Alligator mississippiensis: one gene and its partner. The protein of the gene in region 2 interacts with the protein of the main gene of each other region in a biochemical or structural test. Links are inferred from orthologs where the notes say so. Each region holds a gene or a part of one and is shown on either strand. Other genes may lie near its edges.

What was found.
Region 1: the proteins of IQGAP1 (region 2) and BRAF form a complex in vitro, tested with the Homo sapiens proteins (2 studies listed by BioGRID and IntAct). The link is inferred for Alligator mississippiensis from reciprocal best matches to the Homo sapiens genes IQGAP1 and BRAF.

The regions. Positions count from the first base shown.
Region 1 is NC_081827.1:109,985,050-109,995,124, reverse strand, and holds the start of BRAF (serine/threonine-protein kinase B-raf), read left to right. Parts: upstream 1-5,093; 5' UTR 5,094-5,249; coding exon 5,250-5,378; intron 5,379-10,075. UniProt on the Homo sapiens protein: Protein kinase involved in the transduction of mitogenic signals from the cell membrane to the nucleus. Phosphorylates MAP2K1, and thereby activates the MAP kinase signal transduction pathway. Phosphorylates PFKFB2.
Region 2 is NC_081834.1:412,250-423,232, forward strand, and holds the start of IQGAP1 (ras GTPase-activating-like protein IQGAP1), read right to left. Parts: upstream 4,608-10,983; 5' UTR 4,547-4,607; coding exon 4,492-4,546; intron 1-4,491. UniProt on the Homo sapiens protein: Plays a crucial role in regulating the dynamics and assembly of the actin cytoskeleton.

The sequences.
Region 1 (10,075 bases), on a different chromosome or scaffold from region 2:
TATCTACTAGACAGAAGAGGATGTAAATGTTCTGTACCTATTAACAAGCTAGTAGGCATAGTCCAGTAGCTTTAGCCTTGAATTAACCATTTGGATAAACTGAAAATGTGCCGTAGGACTTGTTTTGATTTTTTTTTTCGTTAAGGACGCTCTTTTCTCTGAAACAGAAATGGCAACAACTCAAACCCACTCTAATTTGATTAGACAGATTTTGCACACCACTGGACACTAGTTTCTTCTGAGCATAACATCGATGCAAACTGATTTATCTGGGAAAGGGTAGTCATGTCTTCAAATTTCTACATTGGCTTAGACTGTCAACTAACTCTCTCATTTTCTACTGACAAGGTACAACATTTTCTCTTAAAAAGCATGTGTTACTTTGATCAACAAAATCTTCTGTTGGGTAACCTGAAAGATGAGTGTCTTTCCCTTCAATGATTTAACCACATTAGTTGTCTGATCAGAATTTAGGCAAAATTTAGAATTCCAACCCCCTGTCCCCCCGCAAAATGCTACATAGCTGGAAACTCCATAGGAAGTGACTTTGGGGGTTTTTGATGGTTTTTTTTTTTTTTGGCGGGGGGTGTTGATTGTATTTACAAATCTGAGTTACTTGCCAAAATACAAATTACACTAACTATACTACTTTCTAAGAATAAATCAACTAGTGGTCTAGGTTAGTGGGTCTCAAACTTTTAGATTCGAGGCACCCCTTCAACCTTTTATGAATTGAGTGGCACCTAGTTTCAAAAACTAATTAATTGCAGCACTTGCATCCCTGCAAAGGGGCTGAACAGTAGAGCGGGGGAGCAGTTAGGCAGGGAGAGCCTGAGCCTGCCCTTATCTGCTTATCTCCTGATACCTCCTGTGGCACTCCTCAAAGGATCTCAAGGCACCCAAGGGTACCACAGAAGAACCCTGGCTGAGAATAACTAGTCTAGGTGGTTTAAGGATTTGGTAATAGAAAAGAGTCCTTTACCTCTAGGTCACGGGTTTTGCATGTTAATAATGAACAGAAGTAATAACAAAAAGTAGTTTAATAGCCTCCTCAAACTGTGTTGGGGTATCAAGGACCAGAATTACACATCACCAAAAAGCAGTTAGCTTTGACATTGATAGATCTTCTTTATAGATTTAAGCTGAGACCAAAAATTACACTATGTAAAATGGAATTAAATGTAAATTAAATTCCTCACTAAATATGGACCTTCCTAGACAACAAGGAGGTGCAGTATGAATAGTAGATTTCTGCCTCTCTCCCTGCCCAATCATCACAGAGCATTCAATTCTCTTCTAGTTAAAAAGAAAAACAAGCCAACAAAAATCCTTGTCCACATCATATGTATTGGGTGGTAAATTTTGGCTCTGTTCCTCACTTTGGTTCTCATTTGGCAGCATGAAGGCTCAGACTTGCAGCCAGTAAGGTGCTACACGGTGTAAATAATAATAACATAGCATGACTAACATGCTCTGTGAGAATGCAAACCTCCTGATCAATTTGAATGCACAGGAACAAAGGATGTGGGATTATCAGAGGCACAGGAAAATGTATTTCACCAAATTACAGATTGCTATAATTCCTGCTAGATTGATATCCTCACTGTAAACTGTTTGTGAGAAAATACCCTATAAATTTTTATGACTGTTTTGCACTTTTGAGCCAAAAGCTTCTCTGACACAAATTCCACTGCATACATGGAATTATTCCATGAATTAACTTGGCTCAGTCAGTTTTTCTCTAAAATCAGCTACCCCAGGAGTTTGACTAGATATGAATTTACTACTGCATTTCTTTTAATCTCCTTACAAGTACAGGGAAATTTCTCTCAACAGTCTATTCAGCTTACATTCAGTTCTTAATCTGTTTTTGTTTCCAGAGTCTGTGCACACATTTCTTTGCCAACACTTTGGATTCTTATCCCACATTGTCGATTACTGTCTTTTCAAATGTCTCGCTACAAAATAGGGTTGTTAGGGACTAAATCAGTAACTTGATGACAAGTAACTTAGTTTTGATTTTTGGTTCTTCTGTGCAGTGTTGTCTAGCTGGTGTAGGACTCCAGGGCAACTCTGACCCAGAATCATGGGATCCTATCCAGTCAGTGAGGATGCTATGATGCCCTATTAGGGAGGTGTTTTGTTAACAGAGGTAGTCTATCAGACTCATTAAAATACATTTAAATGTTAAATATGTACCTTCTGTATATCTTTTATGGCTGGCCAGGTAGTAGATAAATATTGTACGACACTTCAAAAGAACAGGGAATAAATTTGGCCAGACTCATTTCCAAAGTTCCTTCTCATAATAAAAAAGGTCCCACTGTTCCAAGCTGTAGGAGAGCTATTGCTGACTGCATACAGTAAGTGGCTGTTACAGCTGCTTAAACACTTATAACATTCCCAATGTCTAACTCAGTGCCAGGTGTTTTTACAAAGCAATAACTCAAATGTGAAAGGTGACTTCTAAAACCCAATCTATTATATAGATTTAATAGTGTTCAACGTTCAAAAATTACATTAATACAAAAAGCTGATGGCTAAGCACCCAAAAGTCAGAAGAAAATGACAAAGGTTATATGTTGACCCATTTTATGAACTTGTGTTTTCTTTTTAATTGACTGATTAAAAATATTCCAGATTATAATACCCTTTAAGTAGTATACTTTGAGTTTGGTTTGTTGTGCATTTTGCTTTTTTCATGTTACCCACTGAATATTTATCATGAGGATATCTTCAGCAAGGAAGCTACTAGATCCCTGATCGCAAGAAAACTTTGTTTAAAATATGCAAGTGAAGCATGTGCATAAATGTTAGGAAGAACAGGGTTGAAGAGCTGTCAAATGCACAAACTAAAAACAAGAAACAATTTTTGTATTGCTTTGCTGACTCCTTTCAGCTTGAGTAATCATAGGCTTTAATCATGATGATGATGACATATACAAAAATCTCTCAAAAATGCGATTTTTTTTTCAGGTTGGGTATATCCCTTAAACTGTTCTTCCATGCATAGCTATGAAGATATAATGTCTTAGCTAACCCAATAATGTTGTTTTTCAAATTGTACATTCATATACTTCATAACTATTGTAGATAGGTGCAGCTTCTTGCAATATGTTTCTGTTTTGGGTTTAAAAGCAGTTTTCATGATCATTATGTTTCTGGATGTAGTTCTTGATGGAGAAGTTCTTCTCCCTCTCAGATATGGCTTTTAATAACCGTCAGCACCTCTACACTATATATTTTTAAGTATAAATTGAAGAATCATATGTTACATAATTAAGGACAGTACTGTAAGGAGATATACTCAAGGGGCCAAAGACAAGGTTAGTCTAGGTAAGCTTAACGTTAGACTCTTTGGATATTTGATACTTAAACCCTTGTTCTGCAACAGCATCTACAACTGGACCTTCATACCCACGTGACTTGTATTAGCTTAAATTGCAGAATTGATGTACATTTCACCCATGAAAATACCTGCAGTCATGATTGTACATTCCCAGAAACTTCGAGCTAGCTCTTTTGCTCCCAAACATTCGATAGCTAATGTTAAGGTCAGCATTTTGCCCACTAATATTTCTGCAATTTCCCACTGATTTCCGGGCCTGATTATCTAAGTCAATGGTGTTCACATTCCTTTGGTATGTTTGAACATGAGGCGTTAAGTGCTTCAGACCATGCACCCAAATAGCAGTGGTTATTAAAAAAAAATCAAAAAAAAAATCGGCCTACATACTTCAAAGGAAAGCCCAGCCCTTCTCTCTAAAATAGGACAGAAGTCTTTTCCTTTTTATGTAATGTTTGGTATAAAGGTTTAAAAGCCTTTATTTAGCTGCTGCTTGCTTTGTGGTATACGATCTTTGTATACGATCTGAGACTCCTCAGGCACTAGCCTTGCTTTTAAACCGCCCTGTACTTTCTCTTGGGAAATGGGCTAGCTGCTGAAGTGAGCTCCAGCCCACGACAGCTTGTGCTATACATATCTTTAATTTAGTTTATCTGTAAGGTACAAATCTTCCCCAATGTTCCTGTAACAGCATTCGGCCTTCTCAGTTCTCTCTTTCAGGGACCCAGCCCCAGAAGAGTTCAAAATCCTGCCTCCATGTGATTACCTGATGCAGGGGTTTTCAACCTTTTTTCATAAGCGTACCCCCAGTGGCTCCCTTTTTAGTAAGTGTACTGCTGGGGAGGGATGGCGAGCGGCCAGACGCAGAGCGGGGAGGGGGATGGCAAGCAGCTGGTCACTGAGCGAGTTGGGGGCTGGTGGCAAGTGGCTGGATGCCAAGCAGGGGCATGGTGAGCAGCCGAGTGGTGGCAGCACAGTGTCCGTGTGGCCCTGCTCTTGACCTGTCCCTGCTCCTGTGAGGCAGCAGCATGGGGTGGCAGTTCTCCATCCCTGCCTCCCCCACCCCAGGTACTCCCCCAGACCTTTCAAAGTACCCCTGGCCTGTGGAGAGGGGTGAGCGGCAACCACCTGCAGGTGCCGCTGGTAGCGTTGGCAGTGCCTTTTTGCAAGGGATGCGCTGCCCCACTCAAGGGGTACACATGCACCCCCTACGCGCTGCCAATGACCCCATAGCAAAGGAACCTCAAGTCTGGACAAAGGTAGGAGGACAGCTAGGGGCTCCCTGAAGGACAGCTGTGCCTCTGTGGCCAAGTTGCAAGAGAAGATTCAGTTTGGAGGTGAAGGAAGACAGGCGCATGTGGGAATAAAGGAATAAACAGTCTTCAGAGGGAGAAAAGCGACCTATGTATGGGGAGGGGAGAAAGGCCAATGGTGAGTCTGGGCACTGGGCCCAAGCCTAACATGTCGGGAGGGCGGTAAGGCAGGAAAGGGCTGTAGTGGAGAGAGAGGAGGAAGGTGCGCGGAAAGGGAAGAGGATCAGTCAGTGAGGCTCCCTGGGGCAGCAGTGAGGGTCCGGGCCAGCCCTCCCGCGTAGGGCTAGCGAGACAGAGGGGAGCCCGTGCGCGGGGAGGGGCCTGGAACGCCGCGCGCCCCCCAGCCCCAGGCTGACGTGCGGCTGCGCCGTGACGTCAGGGTGTTCCCCGATGACGTTGCGCGGCTCATGCGCACTGGGCGCCACGGTCCTGCCGGGTGACGTCACGGGCGGGGAGTGACGTGCCGGTGGCGCGGGCCGCTAGGAGCAGGCTGGTTCGGGTGCCCCCTCCCCCTCCCGCTACGGGTCGCGGCTGGGGGCGGCCCGGCTCCCCTGTCCCCTCCCTCCCGCGCCCGGGCGCTCCGAGCCAAGATGGCGGCGCTGAGCAGCGGCAGCAGCGCCGAGGGGGCCTCGCTCTTCAACGGGGACATGGAGCCTGAGCCGTCGTCCGCCGGGCCCTGCTGCGCGGGGGGCAGCGCCGAGCCGCCTGTGCCCGAGGAGGTGAGGCCGGCCGAGGCCCCCAGCCCGCGTCTCTGAGGGGTCGCGCCCGGGCCTCCCACCGGGCAGCAGGTGGCCGTGCCCGGGGGGCCCGCGGTCCTGGGGCTGGGGCCGCCGGGAAGGGCGCGGCGGGGAAGTTGGGGTTGGGCATTAGGAGGAACTTTCTGTGAAGGAGGGGGGCAGAACACAGGTACGGGGGCTCGGGGGGGTGTATCTCCAGGCTTGGGGGGTTTTAAGTGTCAGAGCCTTGGGTGGGATGGTGAGCTTGGGGCTGATCTGGCTTTGAGCAGGGGTTGGGGTCAGTGAGGCCCCTTCCAGCCTCAGTTTCTACGTTTCCGTGGGAGTGCTCGGGTGGGGGCACACAAGACCTTGGTCCCCGTGTCTTGCTGCCCCCAGACAAGCTGCTTGGGTGAGCAGGCCTCTTGTGGGCTGAGGGAGCAGAGGGAGTATCCGAAATCCTGGATTGAAGCGTCTGAGGTGGAGGATGCTCACCTGGAGTATCTGGGGGCATCTGCACCCCAAGACCTCTGGGCTTGGGCCTGCACATAGGATGCCTGCCTGCCAATTGTTTTGGGAGTATCTGAAGTCCCAGGGGGATAGGTCTGGGATGGCGCGTGTCGTGTCGCTGGTTGTAGCGCCGGACATGGGGTTCGGACTGATGGAGCTCAGCCTGCTCAGTCGACAGTTTTTGGAACGATTGAGTTCTGCTTAAATTGATATGGTTTGGCTGATTTGACCTAGAACAGGAAACATGGTTAGAAAGAAGTGCACTGGGCTGGTGGGCAGGACACTTGCATTCTCTTTCCTGGTTCCTGCATCTTTCTTTTCATGGTTTCACAGCCTGGGAAGAAAGAAAGGAGATGCTATACACCTGGCTGGCAGGGTGATACTTAAATTGTTGCTGTCAGTAAAACATTGGGAGAAGCTGGGGTTGCAGGCAGCGTAGAAAGGCAGAGTGCTTGGGTCTAAATTTCCTACCGCTGCCACAGCAAGTGGCCTGGTGTCACATGCATGGTCTGTTGTACAGCTGGGTTTAGAGTCCATAAATCCTGATCCTAGTCTAGTGCTTTTAATCAGTTAAAAAAATAACAGTGGGGGTGTTTGGGGAAGTTAAGATATATCCAGGTGAAGCCTCTTATTCAGGTCTAAACTACTTGTTGCCTTCATAACCGGAGTTAAATATTGTTTAACTTGTGAACATTCACTTCCCACCTGTATTTAATTTGTCTTCCTTTTCCTATGTTCTCAGTAAGTACATGCCTTGGTAAAACGTCAAAAGTTTCTGTATGTGAGGAGCCTGGTTGCCGGAGTCTAGTGGGGACCCATGTATTTGGCAGATTAACTCCACACCCTCCCCATGTGTCACTTGGATCCCTTTCCCCTGCCCAATGTGCTGCTTAGCTTCCTGGTCCCTGCCTGTCCACCACAGTTCTGCCTGTCCCCTCCCTTATCTGCCACCTGCCACGCGCAGAGGCTGCCTGTGCCACTCCTGGAATGTGTGCTGCAGGTTGGCCACCCATGCCTAAATCACTGTAGTACAGTCTAATGACTTTACTTCTAGTCCTGAACTATTTAATACAGATTTACTTTGTTAGTCAGTTGCCATATTTCTTCCCGTAAAACACTTCAGTATTTATTTAGAATACCTTCTATCCAGAAATATCAGTATTTCACTGATATAGGTTATGTATCATACAGCCTTAGGTACTATGTTTTTACAGTATGCTGTACAGAGATGAGAACTGAGATATATAGAATGGGTCTCTGGCAGGGCTGGGGTTGCAACCTCAATCCCTTGTCTGTCAGTTTTTTTCTTCCAAGTCAAATCTCTTCATGCATCCTCTTATCACTTTTGTCTAACTCGTTTTAATAGCATTATTTTTTGTAGTAGACCATAGAGTAATTTCTGTAGTTGAAACTTTGCTAATGGCATGGTTAAAATTGAGACTTTATTCCATACAAGATAAGAGGTTATAAAGTATAGTTTGAGTACTGAATACCATAAAAGTTGTGAAAATAGTAAAGCTCTCATAAGTGACTCATAGCAGCTTTAATCTGTTTGTGTTTTTGAATAATATGAGGAGGAAAAATAGTAATCATAAAATATAGAGATAAATATTACAACTATTTGCTGGTAACTGCTCTTGGACCTCTTTGCTTTAGGTTAGAGAATGGCTAGCGTAGTAGAAACCAGATTTTCATATCTAATAGACTGAAGAGGATGTAAATATTCTTCTGTACCTAGGCTTTAAGAGAATAAGAGTTTTAAAAAGTAACTAAACAAACATTATAATTATGGCCAATGTTTCCTCATAATAAATGTACTTAATTTAGCTCAGGTTATGTCTTGGTTTTAAAAAATATTTGTTTTCCACTTGACCACATTCATCCAAAAGTTGTAATATTGTAATTTAACCAAGAACATATACTGTTTTTGTTTGTGCTTTGCACACATCCTTTACAGTGGCTTGGTGCACTATGGGATAGGAAACTATTCTCTTCCTTCTCAAACTGTCTGCTATGCAGAAGGATAGTTAGTAGCCTCGTGCTTCTGTTGAGCTCCCCATCAAATAATTTCACTACAAAAATCTTTTTCTCTTAAAGACGATGAAGGTTTCAATTGTAAGTTCTTGCGTAGAGCCCTATCAAAAAAGTACAACTTCATTTGCTAGTCTCTACATGTTGAATGGCTTCAGGAAAAAAGTGAAGGTCATCTCTTGTCCCTTTAAGGATCAAATCTGGACTTTCTGAAATGGTACAGAAAATCTAGCTTTTTTGTAAAGTCTTCTCCTTCTACAGTTTTATAATTTGCCAGCATCTTTTGCCTACCTGTCATATTATAGGTAGGGAAAAGAATTTGACTCTCATAAATTTGTAAAGTGAATCTTTCAGTTTTTTTTATTTTAGCATAGTAGGTAATCTGGAGCAAAAGCATAATACTTTATTATGAGACCATTGGTTAAAGTTGCAGTAATCTATTTCCCAAATTTTAAGACTTGGGATTTTGAGAACAAAATTATGCCTATGTTACTGTTAAGTCTGAAGACAACTTGAAGTTGTTGCTTTTGATTTTTGGTTCTGTAGCCATAATTGTTGGGATAAAAACTGCTTTCATAATGAAGTGTTGTGTATATAGTACTTTGATAAAGTAAAGTATTTTTATAAAACAAAGTATGTAGAAGATAAACTGTAGAGAGAATAGCTAATGGCTAGTGTCTCTCTAATCTGAACCATAGTGCAGGTTTAACTCTTGTTACAGAGCTATATACATACACTGAAAAATAGTTGTGTGCTTATGAAATATGCACTTCCTAGAGACAGGGAGCTGATGATCCTGGAGGCAAGTGCATTTAGGGGAGATTAGGTTAAAAAAAAAACAAGAGTTGTTGGCAATGGGAGGAAAAGTAGAAATGACTAAACTCTGGGGTAAGCTTTTGGACTATAGAATTTTTAATTTAGTTTGCTTCACTGCAGGATGGTTTCTTTGGGCAAGGGATCATTTGATATAGTGAAGTGTGTCAGGGGTTGCCTATGTGAGGTACTTGGAGTGCATGGCAGCTGGGATTAAAGGCTTCATACCTTTCATTGTGGCTTATTTGCATAATTATTTAAATAATTCAAATCGGATCCCCTGTGCTTAGGATCAAATTCTAAAGTGCATTGTGCTGTTTGAGAGAGAGACTTTTGACTTTTTAAAAACCTTTCTTAAAAAAAACCAAACCAAAACCAAAAAAAACCCAGAAGGTGAAAGTGAAAGAGCAGAAGTGTGTGCCTTTCCCTCCTTCACCCCCAGGGCTGAGTGTGAACCACTTGTCAGTAACAGAAATGCATGTGTCACCAGAGATTGAAACCCCCTCCCCTAGCTGTCTGTCTGTCTTCTACCTTGAATACTTCCCCTTGAGGGTCCAGTGCAACACAAACTACTTCACATTTTTGCAAGGTGGTGTCCATCTCAAATGTAACATGCACCTAGACCAGGAAATAAAAGACTTGTAGGGCATCACTGAAGCCAGCCCCTGCAAGCTTGTTTCTGCAGCTCTTCAGGGTCATCTTGGCTTGGTCCAGCAGGAATTTGGCCAGGCAGATCATGCTCCTTTTGGCTTCTTGGTGCAGGATAGAGAAATCATATGCCATCTGGGAGAGGTCCAAGTCCAGTGCACCGAAGAGGGTGCTGTTGACAGCAAATAGTGGCCAGAACAGACGGCAGTCCAGGAAAGCATGGAAGAGAGTTTCCTCCGCCACCTCCATGAAGAAAGGGCAGGCTACTGACGCCACCAGGTAAAAGTGGTGGATAAAGGTGCCTGTTGTTAGGACCCTGTGCAGCAGCTGCCACTGGAGGGTCTCCAGTTCACTTGGTGAGAGAATTGAAATGAGAGGCTTAGGAATTCCCCAAAAGAGACCCAGAGCTGCTGGACTCAATGGTTGGGCATGATAAATTCTACCCATGTCTAATTCATACATGCATAGAAACTTTAAAATAGCATACAAATGAGGAAATAAATCCAGGAAAGAAACTCTTTTTGTGACCTCAATAACAAATAAGTAGTGTGACTGTGAGGTGATACAGACAGTCTAAAAAAAACCCCATTACCCTGTATTTTGGTAATACCTAGAAGACTTATTATGCTAGGCACCGTGGAAACACAGAACAAAAACCAATCCCCAGTTGTGAGGTTATAGTTCATGTAAATGTGCCTTGG
Region 2 (10,983 bases):
GACCGTTCCCACTCACTCGTCCAGGTCCCCACCCCTCAGCGGCAGCCCATTCTTCCCCTTCGCTATGCAAGCGCCGTTAAGCATCTTAAACTTAAACCCTCGTAAAACCCGGGCATCCCCCCACCTATCTCCTTGCTTCTGAAATGAAGGATTGGAAAGGACCTCCTAGATTAGCAAGTCCAGCCCAGTCCTCCGTTAGGAGACTGCATCACAATTCCCTTCATCGGTGTTTGAGCCCTGACAACGCGCTCCCAGCCCGCGCTGCCTACAATTACCGCCTGGAGCTCCTCTCCTTCAGCTCTTCCCTGGGCTCTCTCCAGTTCGGCTTGGAGTCTGCATGGAGACCGCTCTCGCTACAGTCTCTAATCGTTCTGTCCTGGGAAAGCTCAGAGCCAGCCTTCCATCGCATCCTCCTCGGCCTGTCAACTGCCTTCATCACAGTCAACTGCGGCCCACTTTTTGACCTCTTGTCTTCCCTTAGCTTTTGTGACTCTCCGTCTGCTTGCTCTCCCCTTCCCTCTCTAACATTTCTCTTACAACATCTTAGAATCACAGAGAAGTCAAGCTGGCAGAGCCCCCAGGAAGTCACATCTAGCCCAGCCGCCTCCCAAAGGCAGGAACATCCCTGACTGAAGCATCCTACACGAGTAGATAACTTGCTCCTGAAAATGTCCAACAACGGTGACCCCACAACTTCTCTATGCAGCCTGTCCCAGTGCTTGACCACTCTCAGAAAATCCCTCCTAGTCTCCAACTTCAATTTCCCCTGCTGCGTTTGAGGCCGTTGCTCCCTATGGCCACAAAGAAGTCTCTGCTCTTCATCCTCTCTTTAACTATCCTTCAGGTATTTGAAGACTGCTATCAAATCCCCCGTCTTCTCTTCTCCAAACAGGAGTCATGTTTTCCAGGCTTCATCGTTTTGGTCGCTCTCCAGTGGGCTCTTTCTAATCTGTCCATGTCTGTCCTGAAGTGCGGGTCTCACTACTGGCCCCAGTACTCCAGGAGAGACCACACCTGCGATCTGCAAGTGACACTCCTCTCAATACAACCCCGGGTGTCACTGGCATTTTTTTTTGCAGCAAGAGCTTACTATTAGCTCATGTTCAGCTTACAGTCCACTTCAACCCCCAGGTCCTTGTCTGCAATCCTGCAGCCTACGCAAACATGTGCATCCTCCCTTCAACTACCCCTGGGATATGGAAGTCTTGGTAGATCACAGACTCGGCATGAGTCTGCAGCATGATGCAGTTGCACAAAAGGCGAATGCAGTTTTGGGATACGGTACCTGTAATTAAAGCGCCCGGAGCATCTCATGCAGTGGATAAGCATTGGTCAGGGAGGATCTAGACGCAGCTACTGCCATGCTCTACTGTGGGTATTTCCCAGGCTTGTGGGCTTTGCTGGGTCCCAGATGGGGCTGGGAGGAAATTTTTCTCCCCCTACTGCTGTGTGTTTTAGGGGTTTGTTTGGTTTTTTGCTTTCCTCAGAAGTATTTTACTGGGGTGTGCCTATGCTGCTGCTGGGACTTGCACCCAGAGGCTCCTGGCTAAGGCCAGACCAACACTACGCTGGGGGGTTTACCTTGCGGTCAGATTCGTACAGACTGGGGGGGGTCCATACACCTTCCTCTAAAGGGAGTGGGGCCTGGCTCTCTTCTTTGGACCTCGAGTGTTTTTTAACAACCGTGGGACGATGGCCGCCATGGCCCCCCTGCTTTACCTGTGGCAGGTTCAGGTGTCGTTGTGTGACTGTGTCACGGCTGACCACGCAGTTTTGCTGAGAGGTTAGCTAATGGATTTGCCTCATGCAGGTGACTGGATTAGACGACCTCTGGAGCATCCTTCCAGCCCTGCTTTCCCACGGTTTTGTGATTCATACTGGGAGAAGCAAGGATTTCTAACAGCAATGTCTCTGACTGGACCACCTGCATAGCTGGAGTAGTGCTAGACAGGATTTCAAATGAACACTGTCAGTGTCTAATCTTGGCTCGACCGTGAATTTTTGGGGAAGTTTGAGATGAAGGGGGAAGATGACAACTACATAATCTGGTAACATGGATATCTGCACGCTCCTTCTGACCCAAAGTGAGCTGACAGCACAACTGCTGTTATAACACTGTCTGATGCTTCCTATTTTATGGGGCACAACTTCAAACTTTGGCTATTTAGGCTGAAATTCTGCATACTGGTCGCTAACCTCAGGCTGAATCATTCTGAAAATTTTCAGACAAGGAGGTTCAGCCATTTCCAAGAATAAGTGGAAAGAAAAATATATTTTGCCCATTTTAAAATAACCTGATGACATTAGTTTTAAGAAGCTCTAGCACTGCCATACTTTTGAACAGGAACTTGGCATTTGGTACATGGGTGGCCTTTACATCAAAAAAGTGCCTTTTGCTGTCCTATGAAAACCCACCCAAATCTGGTCAATCTATAAATCCTTTGGGGGAAAGGGCTAAAACTGCCCTTCACAGTGGCTTAGTGATTTTCACAGCTAAATCCCAAAAAAGACTTCAACTGCATTTAGCAGGGTCTAATCTGGGGTTTTTAACATAATTAAGCTGCAGGCTGCCATTAATGGAGACAGGGCTTGTGCAACACAGTCTCTCATTTCACATCTGCATAACGATACAGTGTTTAAAATACATAATCACATACTATTATTTCCTAACTATCCTAGACTCATTTAGCATGCAATTAGCACCTGTACTCCTGTTTCCACTACTACTAAACAGAGACCCCTCACCTTACTCAATATACATAGCGTCCAAATCTAACAGCTGGAGCTGGTCCTACTTTGAACAGGGGGCTGGACCAGATGTCCCTTCCAGCCCTCATTTTCTATTTACCCATTTACACACAGGCATATTCAAAGTAAGATCCATTTGCTTCTATGCAATTGTGACAATTTAGGTCTCAAAGCAGCCATAACCCCACAGGAGCACTTTTTCATTCTCTTGGAAGCCAAGCCTCATCCCCCTTCTAACCGGTACTGAGAATGAGACCCGGAGCCTGTGCAAAGAAGGGTGCGCAGTCACGTCCTTCACCATGCAGATACAGAAGGGGCAGAGGTAAAGTTAAAACATTAACGCTACAGTTTATCAGCTTTTCAATGTTAAAAATTACATTAGGACTACAAACGGGAACAGATTATGTATCGATTCAGAAAGGAGACAGTCTCTTTGTGCAGAAAAAAGGAATCGTCTTGCAACAACCAAAATGTTCTTGTATCAAATGAAGCAAGAGGAGACATATGGAAGGGCAGCCGGGCGTCTGACGCAGGCGAGTAGGAGGCACGAAGAGAGAACCGGGCACCTCACGCCGGAGAAGACGTGCGTACGGACTGCAGCCCATCTCCACCGCACAATGCTGGGCTGTTCACATGGGACAGGGACGCACACAGGAGAAACTGGAAACTCCACCATGTTCAGATCCTAACCCTGAGGGTCTGTGCAGCATCTGCACGTCGTAACAGGCACCTTTGCGCTCCTGTTACTTCAGGAGAAAGGCTCTAGGAAGAGCCCAGGTGGCATTCAAGGGACTGGAAGGGGCCAGGTGAGAGCGTATAAGCCCGGGCCCGAGCGGGGGCAGGTATGGGAGGAAGAGCTCCCACCCGGGAGGGCAGCAGAGGAGCCCCTGACTCGCACCAGGGATACGCTTGAGCCTGGGAGTAGGGCAGGCAAGTAGAGTATTGTGGACCTGCCTGGAAAACACTGGTGGTTTGGGCCTGGGACCGGGGGTGGTGGAGGGCCAGAGCCCAGGAACAGGGCCGAGGAAGAACGAGAGCTGGGGCTGGCGAGAGCCAGTCCCAGAGAGGGCAGAGGCAGGGCTACAGAGCCCGGAGCAGGGCCTGAACTGAGTCATCGCTGGCAACATGTGCCAGGCCTGGGTGCAGCTGGGAGGTGAGGAGGCCAGGAACCCAGCCCTCCAGTGCTGGATGAGCAGGGAGAGGTAGCTGCTGAAGGGGGATCCCCAGGCAGCCTCCCTTCCCGGGCTCGCACGTGGGTGACGGCCTGGCAGGCGAGGAGGGAAGCCGGCCCCAAGGCCTGGGGGAAGCCAAGGCCGAGCACCCGGGGCCGCACGGCCACCCCACACGCCCGGCACAGGCTGCTCGGCGCTGCCACCCAACGCACGAGCAGCCCCCGCGCCACGGGGGGAAGCTGCCCACGCGACACGGCCGGGCCGGGCCGGGCCGCGAGACACCTGCCCGGCGCCCCGCGCCCCCGCTGCAGCGCGCTTCGTGCTGGCGGCCCGGGGCTCAGCACCGCGCCCGCTCCGGGAAGGGACGGGTGCCAGGGCCCTCCGTGCGGGGCGGGGCGGGGCGGGGGCTGCGGGCGTCTCCTCCGCCACCGCGCGCTGCGGCCGCTCCCCACGCCACGCGCGGGCGGGTCACCGCGCCCCCCGCCCGCCCGTCCGTCCACCCTCCCTGCCTGCCTGCCTGCCTGCCGGGCGCGGTGCGGGGCGGGGCGGGCGGAGCGGAGCCGGTACTCACAGCCATAGTGTGGCCGGGCCACCCCGGGGCCGTCCGCTTCGTCCGACACCGACATGGCGGCCGGGTGCGCTGGGCGCGGGGCTGCGCTGCGCTGCGCTGGGCTGCGCGGGCGGGCGGGCGGGCGGGAGCGGCGGTTCCTGTTCCTGCTCTGCCCGGGCGTGGCGGCGGGGAGGAGCCGCCCGCGCCCGCGCCCCGGATCCCGCCCCGCTCCGCTCCGCTCCGCTGCCTGCTGCGCCGGGCCGGGGCGGGGCGCTGGGCGGCGAGGGCGGGCAGCCCCGGGCCGGGGGGGAGCGGACACAAGCACGCCGCTGCCCCCGTGCACGGGCGGGGGGGGGGTCCAGCAAGGCCCCCGCGCGCCAGGGCAGCCACCCCGCGGGCCGCACAGCTGCAGCCGCCTCCTCGTGCGGGGGCGACTTTGTTACAGGCCCAACAGCGTGGCGGGCGGGGGCTGTACGAGACCCGGTGGCAGCCCGCGCCGTGACACGCCCTGTCCGCGCACCCACGGCACGGGGACACCGCCCAGGCAAGGTGTGACTCGGCGGTGGCCGGGCGGTACCAGCACCTGTTCTTGCAGCACAGATCTGTGCCACGTTTCGCGGAAGAGGGGTGAGCGAGCGGGTCATCAACGGGGCAGGCAGCCCCACACTCGTGCCAGCGCCGGCGTGCCCGCCTCGGGGCACACGCTGGGGAAGGGGCTGGGGCCGCACTGCCACGCCCGGGCGCAGGCCCCTCGGGTCCCCTGCCATGCATCCCAGCACCCCGACACCTTACCAGTCCGGGTCGTGCGGGGGCTTCTGGCGCTGCCCAAAAACGCTGTGGGCCCCGGCGTAGATCGTAGAGAACTAGGGCTGAAAGAAACTGAACAGGTTTCTTGAAAAAGCATTAGTTGGTTCAGATTTGGTCCAAATCTTAGGTTTGCCCACCCCCTGCCAAAAACCCCCACTTTTTTATTAACTCATTTCAGTTGAATACTTCCAGCAATGGTTGTTGTTTCTAAATCTCCCGGTGGAAGCAGGAGACACTACCGTGGCGTGCGCACGTGGACACAGGAACGTGGGACCGGGCGACAGCTCCTGGGTCGCTGAGCCTAGCAGTGTCCTGCTGCTGCAGGGAACCACGCCGCGTGGTCGCATCCACACACTGATGCTCCATCGTAAAACGAGTCCCGTTTCTTGCCCCCACTTCTCCTATTGGGAGGCTCTTCCAAAACCTCACTCCTCTGATAGTTATGAGCCTTCTAATTTCAAGCCTACATGATTCACAGCTACGTTAATCTCCATTCATTCTTGTGCCAGCGTTGTCTTTTATTTTAGACTGTTTTCTTTCCCAGCCATGATGTTTACCTCCTTCCTGTATTTACAAATTACAGTCACATCACACTGCATCTGTCTTTGTTTCGCTAGATTAAACAAACCCAACCGTTAGGCTCTCAATTCCCCAGAGCATCCCAGTAACCCTCGTCTATACCTGTTCCTGTCTGAATTCCTCTTTCAACTAACTGGAATCGCATGCAGTCTTTCCGAGGTCTCGCCAGTGCCCTGTGAAACTGCAGTATCGCACCAGAAGGCAAAAACATTGTAGAAAACAAACCAGGCCATCTACCTGGGCAGCACCATGTTACCAGGAGAGAGCTCAGTGGCATCAGAGACGGGAATAACATCCACATTTATTCAGCTCAACAACACCTGCAAAGCAAAGATACGCAGCACTGGAACCACAGTGGAGAGTAGTCTTTACAACTCCAATATAATCTATGCTACAGCAGGGCTGCAAGAGCTGGGGATTTACCACATTATACAGGAAACAGAACGTCCTCAAAAACGAGAACCTGTGAAAGATTGTGGGCACTGCACGGGCACTCTTCCTCGCCACTCAAGAGGTCCAAGAAATCCCCAGCCAGCAGCTCGCCTCCGCCAGAATCAGAGGGAAGCACTAGACATCTGAGGCATGTTGTTTCCGGATACCAGCACAAAGATTCCCACGTGAAATAACTGATGGGAGTAAGGAGGGCTTCCCTGGGAAACTTTCAGAACAGCCCTTACCAAGGAAGGCAGAGCAGTAAATCTCAGCACCATAAGGCAAATGGAGGCAGCAGCAAATGAGAGAAAAATTAAAGAAATGAATGCATGTCCTGTGCACCAGTGTCAATGGGGGAAGGCTGCCATGGAAATACCTCACCATCCCAGGATCACCGCCACGTCACAACTGAAGTTCTAGTCCAACAGTTCATTGTTGAAGCTTCTTGTAGCAGTGTACAAGCATCACAGGTTCTTCCTCTCTGACCTTGCCCAATTTCCCAGTGCAATTACGTACCTAGAATACAAAACCCAACATTTTAAACAATGGTTTTTTTGGTTGCAAACTCATTACTAGATACAAAGTTGCTTCAACGATTTTATATCTTCCCCTTTGTGCATATGATGCAGCTAGTTATACGATCAAACTCTGCACAGAACACCTACGTGATTCCAGTTGCAGGACGAATGCCATTCAGTGAACGAGACAGGACTTCTTTTCCTTCGTAGGCACTGAGGGGACTGCCTCCCAAATCTGGGAGAGGATAGAGGATTGCCTCCCATCTAAACCCTGCACGAATTTCCTGTGCCTCAGTGAAAACCCCCAATGTGGGGTACCTGAGATTTGATGGTCGGAGCACTTATTAGCGTTTTTGTGCATTCAAAGCAAGGTACAGACACCGATCCTTGCAACCACACCTCTGGGAAACTAGGGATACTGTAATCCCCACCTGACAGATGAGGAAGGTGGAAAGGAAGATGCAGGGATTTGCCCCAGGCTACACAGTGAGTCAGTGGTGGAGCAGGATTCTAACTTGGGACCTTTGATTCTCAAAGCCGTGCTCCTTCTACAGCTCCCAAGGGTGTCAGCTGCGTCCTGAGTAACCCTTTCAAAAACCAGGCATCGGGTGTCTCAAGTCTGGTGCTCAGGTAGCTAGGGCCATTAGTACCATCATTGTCCAAATGCCACCTCAGTTTGCTATGCTGCCAACTCTGGGTTTTGAAACAGCTCTCATTTTAACCAGAGCAAACACAACCATAGCCCAAGTTTTGCCCTTAGTATGTAGCTCTTCTCCTGTCAGGATCAGCCGTGCACTTTCCTAGCCTGCTCCTGTCCCAAAAGGCATCCTGGGTGGGCTTCCAGCGAGTCCAAACTCCTGTGCCCCGTCTGTCCAGAGGGAGATGTCTTTGTTCGATAAAATATCCAATCGCACGATTTGCTTACCAACTCATCCTTCGAGCTGCATGGTATGAGACGAGAGGAGCGCTGACTTTATATCATTTCACTACCTTTCCCAATGTCTGGCAATCTACTGGGAAAACTGAAACCTTTCCCAGAGGAGGGAATGTTTTATTATTCATTTGGATAGTGCCAAGTATAATGAGGCCCTGATCTTTGATAAGGGTCTTTTGGCACTGCTGGAATAGAAATGAATACACGTAATTAGTTGGAAAAGACTGTTGAAAATGGAAATGACTCCTCCCTTCCCTGTTTTTGAAACAATTTGCAAAGATCTGGCAAGTAGGCAGGGTCTCTGTTGCTGTTCTGTCCCAACGCAGCATCCTGCTCAATTGCATCCCTTTCTTTTTCCAACTGGGAAACAATCCCTAATTAAGGAACTATCCTGGGGCAGCTCCCGTGCCAGTTACATGGCAGCAGAGAAGACTGGGCGAGTCTTGGAAGTGCAGCAGGCTCCCCAGTTACCGTGCGCGCCCTGGCACCGTCAGCCATGCGCTAGGCACAGCGAGCTGGGTCTCTATCAGTGGTCTGAGCTGTGGCTGCCGCTACAAGCTCATTAACATCCAGAAGCAACCAGAGCTCTCACCAAAACCCCTGGAGAATTCAGTAGGCCATTTTCATTCCACTTCATCCAGCTTTTTGTCAATTGAAATACACTTCTGCTGCGGCCTCTTGGGATTTTACTATCCAGTATCTGTTTCAGGGACACTCTTTCAAAGTGAGTCTCTGGAAAACAGCTACATTTGAGGAAGAAAAGGCATTTTGATTGTAAAGGCCAAGCTGGAAATGAGATCCAAGCCAAATTAACTCCTCCAGCCCCACTGCTGAATTTTCCTCAAGTAGCATAATGTACGTAAAATGCACTGTCAATCCAGTTAATCTGTGCCTTAAAGAATTTGCCCCCATGTCTGTAAGGTACTTAGCGTGCCATCCAAGACTGTTTGGAAGGACAATTTGTGCAAAAGACACTCCCCCCGCATTCAAGAATCACAGCCACATACGCCCACTCAAAATGTAATTCCTGAGGTCACTCCCCATCAGGCTTCTGCTCTAGATGCCCTAGCTTGCTGGGCTTGACTTGTGAACTGCACAGGTCCTTTGGGCACATAGCAGAACCTTTCTGAGACAGCGATGCCCATCTGGCACTGGAGAGGAATACACGTAGGTGCAGGAGAGGTGCTGAGCTGAGTACAGGCTACTAACAATACTTTTGGGTGTCAAGGTCGTTCACTCCCTTTCAAGTCCATTTCCTTCTACTCTGCCTTCAGCTGCTCTTGCTGCTATTCTTTAATGCAATCTATGAGAAACTCGGGGCTATTTTGTTCCAACAACCCTGTGCCCAGCAACTCCATGGAATGCAAGGAGAGATCTTCTCCAAGCCAACACTTAGTTCCTGCCACTGCTTCAACGATCAATGGTAAAGCAGTGGGGAAGGATGATAAGGAATATCAGCCAGTTACCCCAAAGGACCACTCTCATCAACATCGTTGCTAGATTTCTATGAAAACTACCACAGGTAATGATATATTCAGAGTTCTTAGAAAAAATACTGTTTTTAATTGTATAGTGTTTGTCACCATGGTAACACACTTGGTATCTGCATGCACAGATTGATCACCAGAAGTTACTTGTTACACATGCTGCAATTAATTCATTTCAGCATTTCTATCGAATAGGTTCAGCACTGGTGGTGAGTCTGCATTAATACAGGGGACCCTGGCATTGCTTGCTCTGAAAACTTGGGTACTCCCATCTCCAGTTATCAAAAACACTGCTACAAGGACCATCAGATTTGCCTGCTGCTCTAACCACGTCCAACTCTTCTTCTGACCCTTGGATTCTCTTCATTTTCCACATCGCTGCTTGGGTACGTGTCATTTTCAATGTCTACAACTACAATGTCCCCTTAAAAGCTGTCCAGTTTTTGTGAGCAGTGGCTGACTTGCCACTCGCATTGTTTCCTCTCTGTCGGAAGAGCTGTTTCAGCATTAATTGCTGCAGCTTCTAGAGCCCACAGACCAACTCTGCATGCTGACACCACACTGAATCTGGCCCATGGAGCAATCTTGCCTACCGGATCAGCACCACTCACCTGGCCCACAGGACCAAAGGGTTGAGCACCATTGCTCTGCATCACTGATACAGTATTGCTCAGGGGCAAGAACAGATCTTTGCTGGACATTGCAAGAAATACCCCACACAAAGATGATTCCTGATCTACAGTTACTTTGAGATCTAGCAGTTAGCCTGTCTTAATCTAGTTAACATATGATGCATTAATTTTGTGCACTTTAAATTTTAGCGCTAATAAAAGTTTGAACCCCACTGAAAATCTCAGGTGCAGAAAGCATGCACAACCTACTGCGAACAGTCACATGTTGGTGTCTCAAGTGGGTGAAGCTTGGACAGATTTTATTATCTTTTTTGTTTTAGTTTGGCCCCTGGCTTCCTGTGCTCTTAACACAGTATAAAACCCTCTCAAGCCACTCCGGCTCTTCTTTGCACATCTTAAAATACAAAAAAGGTTTCTGTAGGAAGGACTGGGATAAATCTGTAGGGAATGACCTGCTGGGTGGCACGGAAGTGGAAAGGGATGTTGGAGTCCTAGTGGACTCCAAGATGAACATGAGTCGGCAGTGTGACGAAGCCATCAGAAAAGCCAATGGCACTTTATCGTGCATCAGCAGATGCATGACGAATAGGTCCAAGGAGGTGATACTTCCCCTCTATTGGGCGCTGGTCAGACCGCAGTTGGAGTACTGCGTGCAATTCTGGGCGCCGCACTTCAAGAGCGATATGGATAACCTGGAGAGGGTCCAGAGAAGGGCCATTCATATGGTTAAGGGCCTGCAGACCAAGCCCTTCGAGGAGAGACTAGAGAAACTGGACCTCTTCAGCCTCCGCAAGAGAAGGTTGAGAGGCGACCTTGTGGCTGCCTATAAGTTCATCACGGGGGCACAGAAGGGAATTGGTGAGGATTTATTCACCAAGGCACCCCCGGGGGTTACAAGAAACAATGGCCACAAGCTAGCAGAGAGCAGATTTAGATTGGACATTAGGAAGAACTTCTTCCCAGTTCGAGTGGCCAAGGTCTGGAACGGGCTCCCAAGGGAGGTGGTGCTCTCCCCTACCCTGGGGGTCTTCAAGAGGAGGTTGGATAGGCATCTAGCTGGGGTCATCTAGACCCAGCACTCTTTCCTGCTTATGCAGGGGGTCGGACTCGATGATCTATTGAGG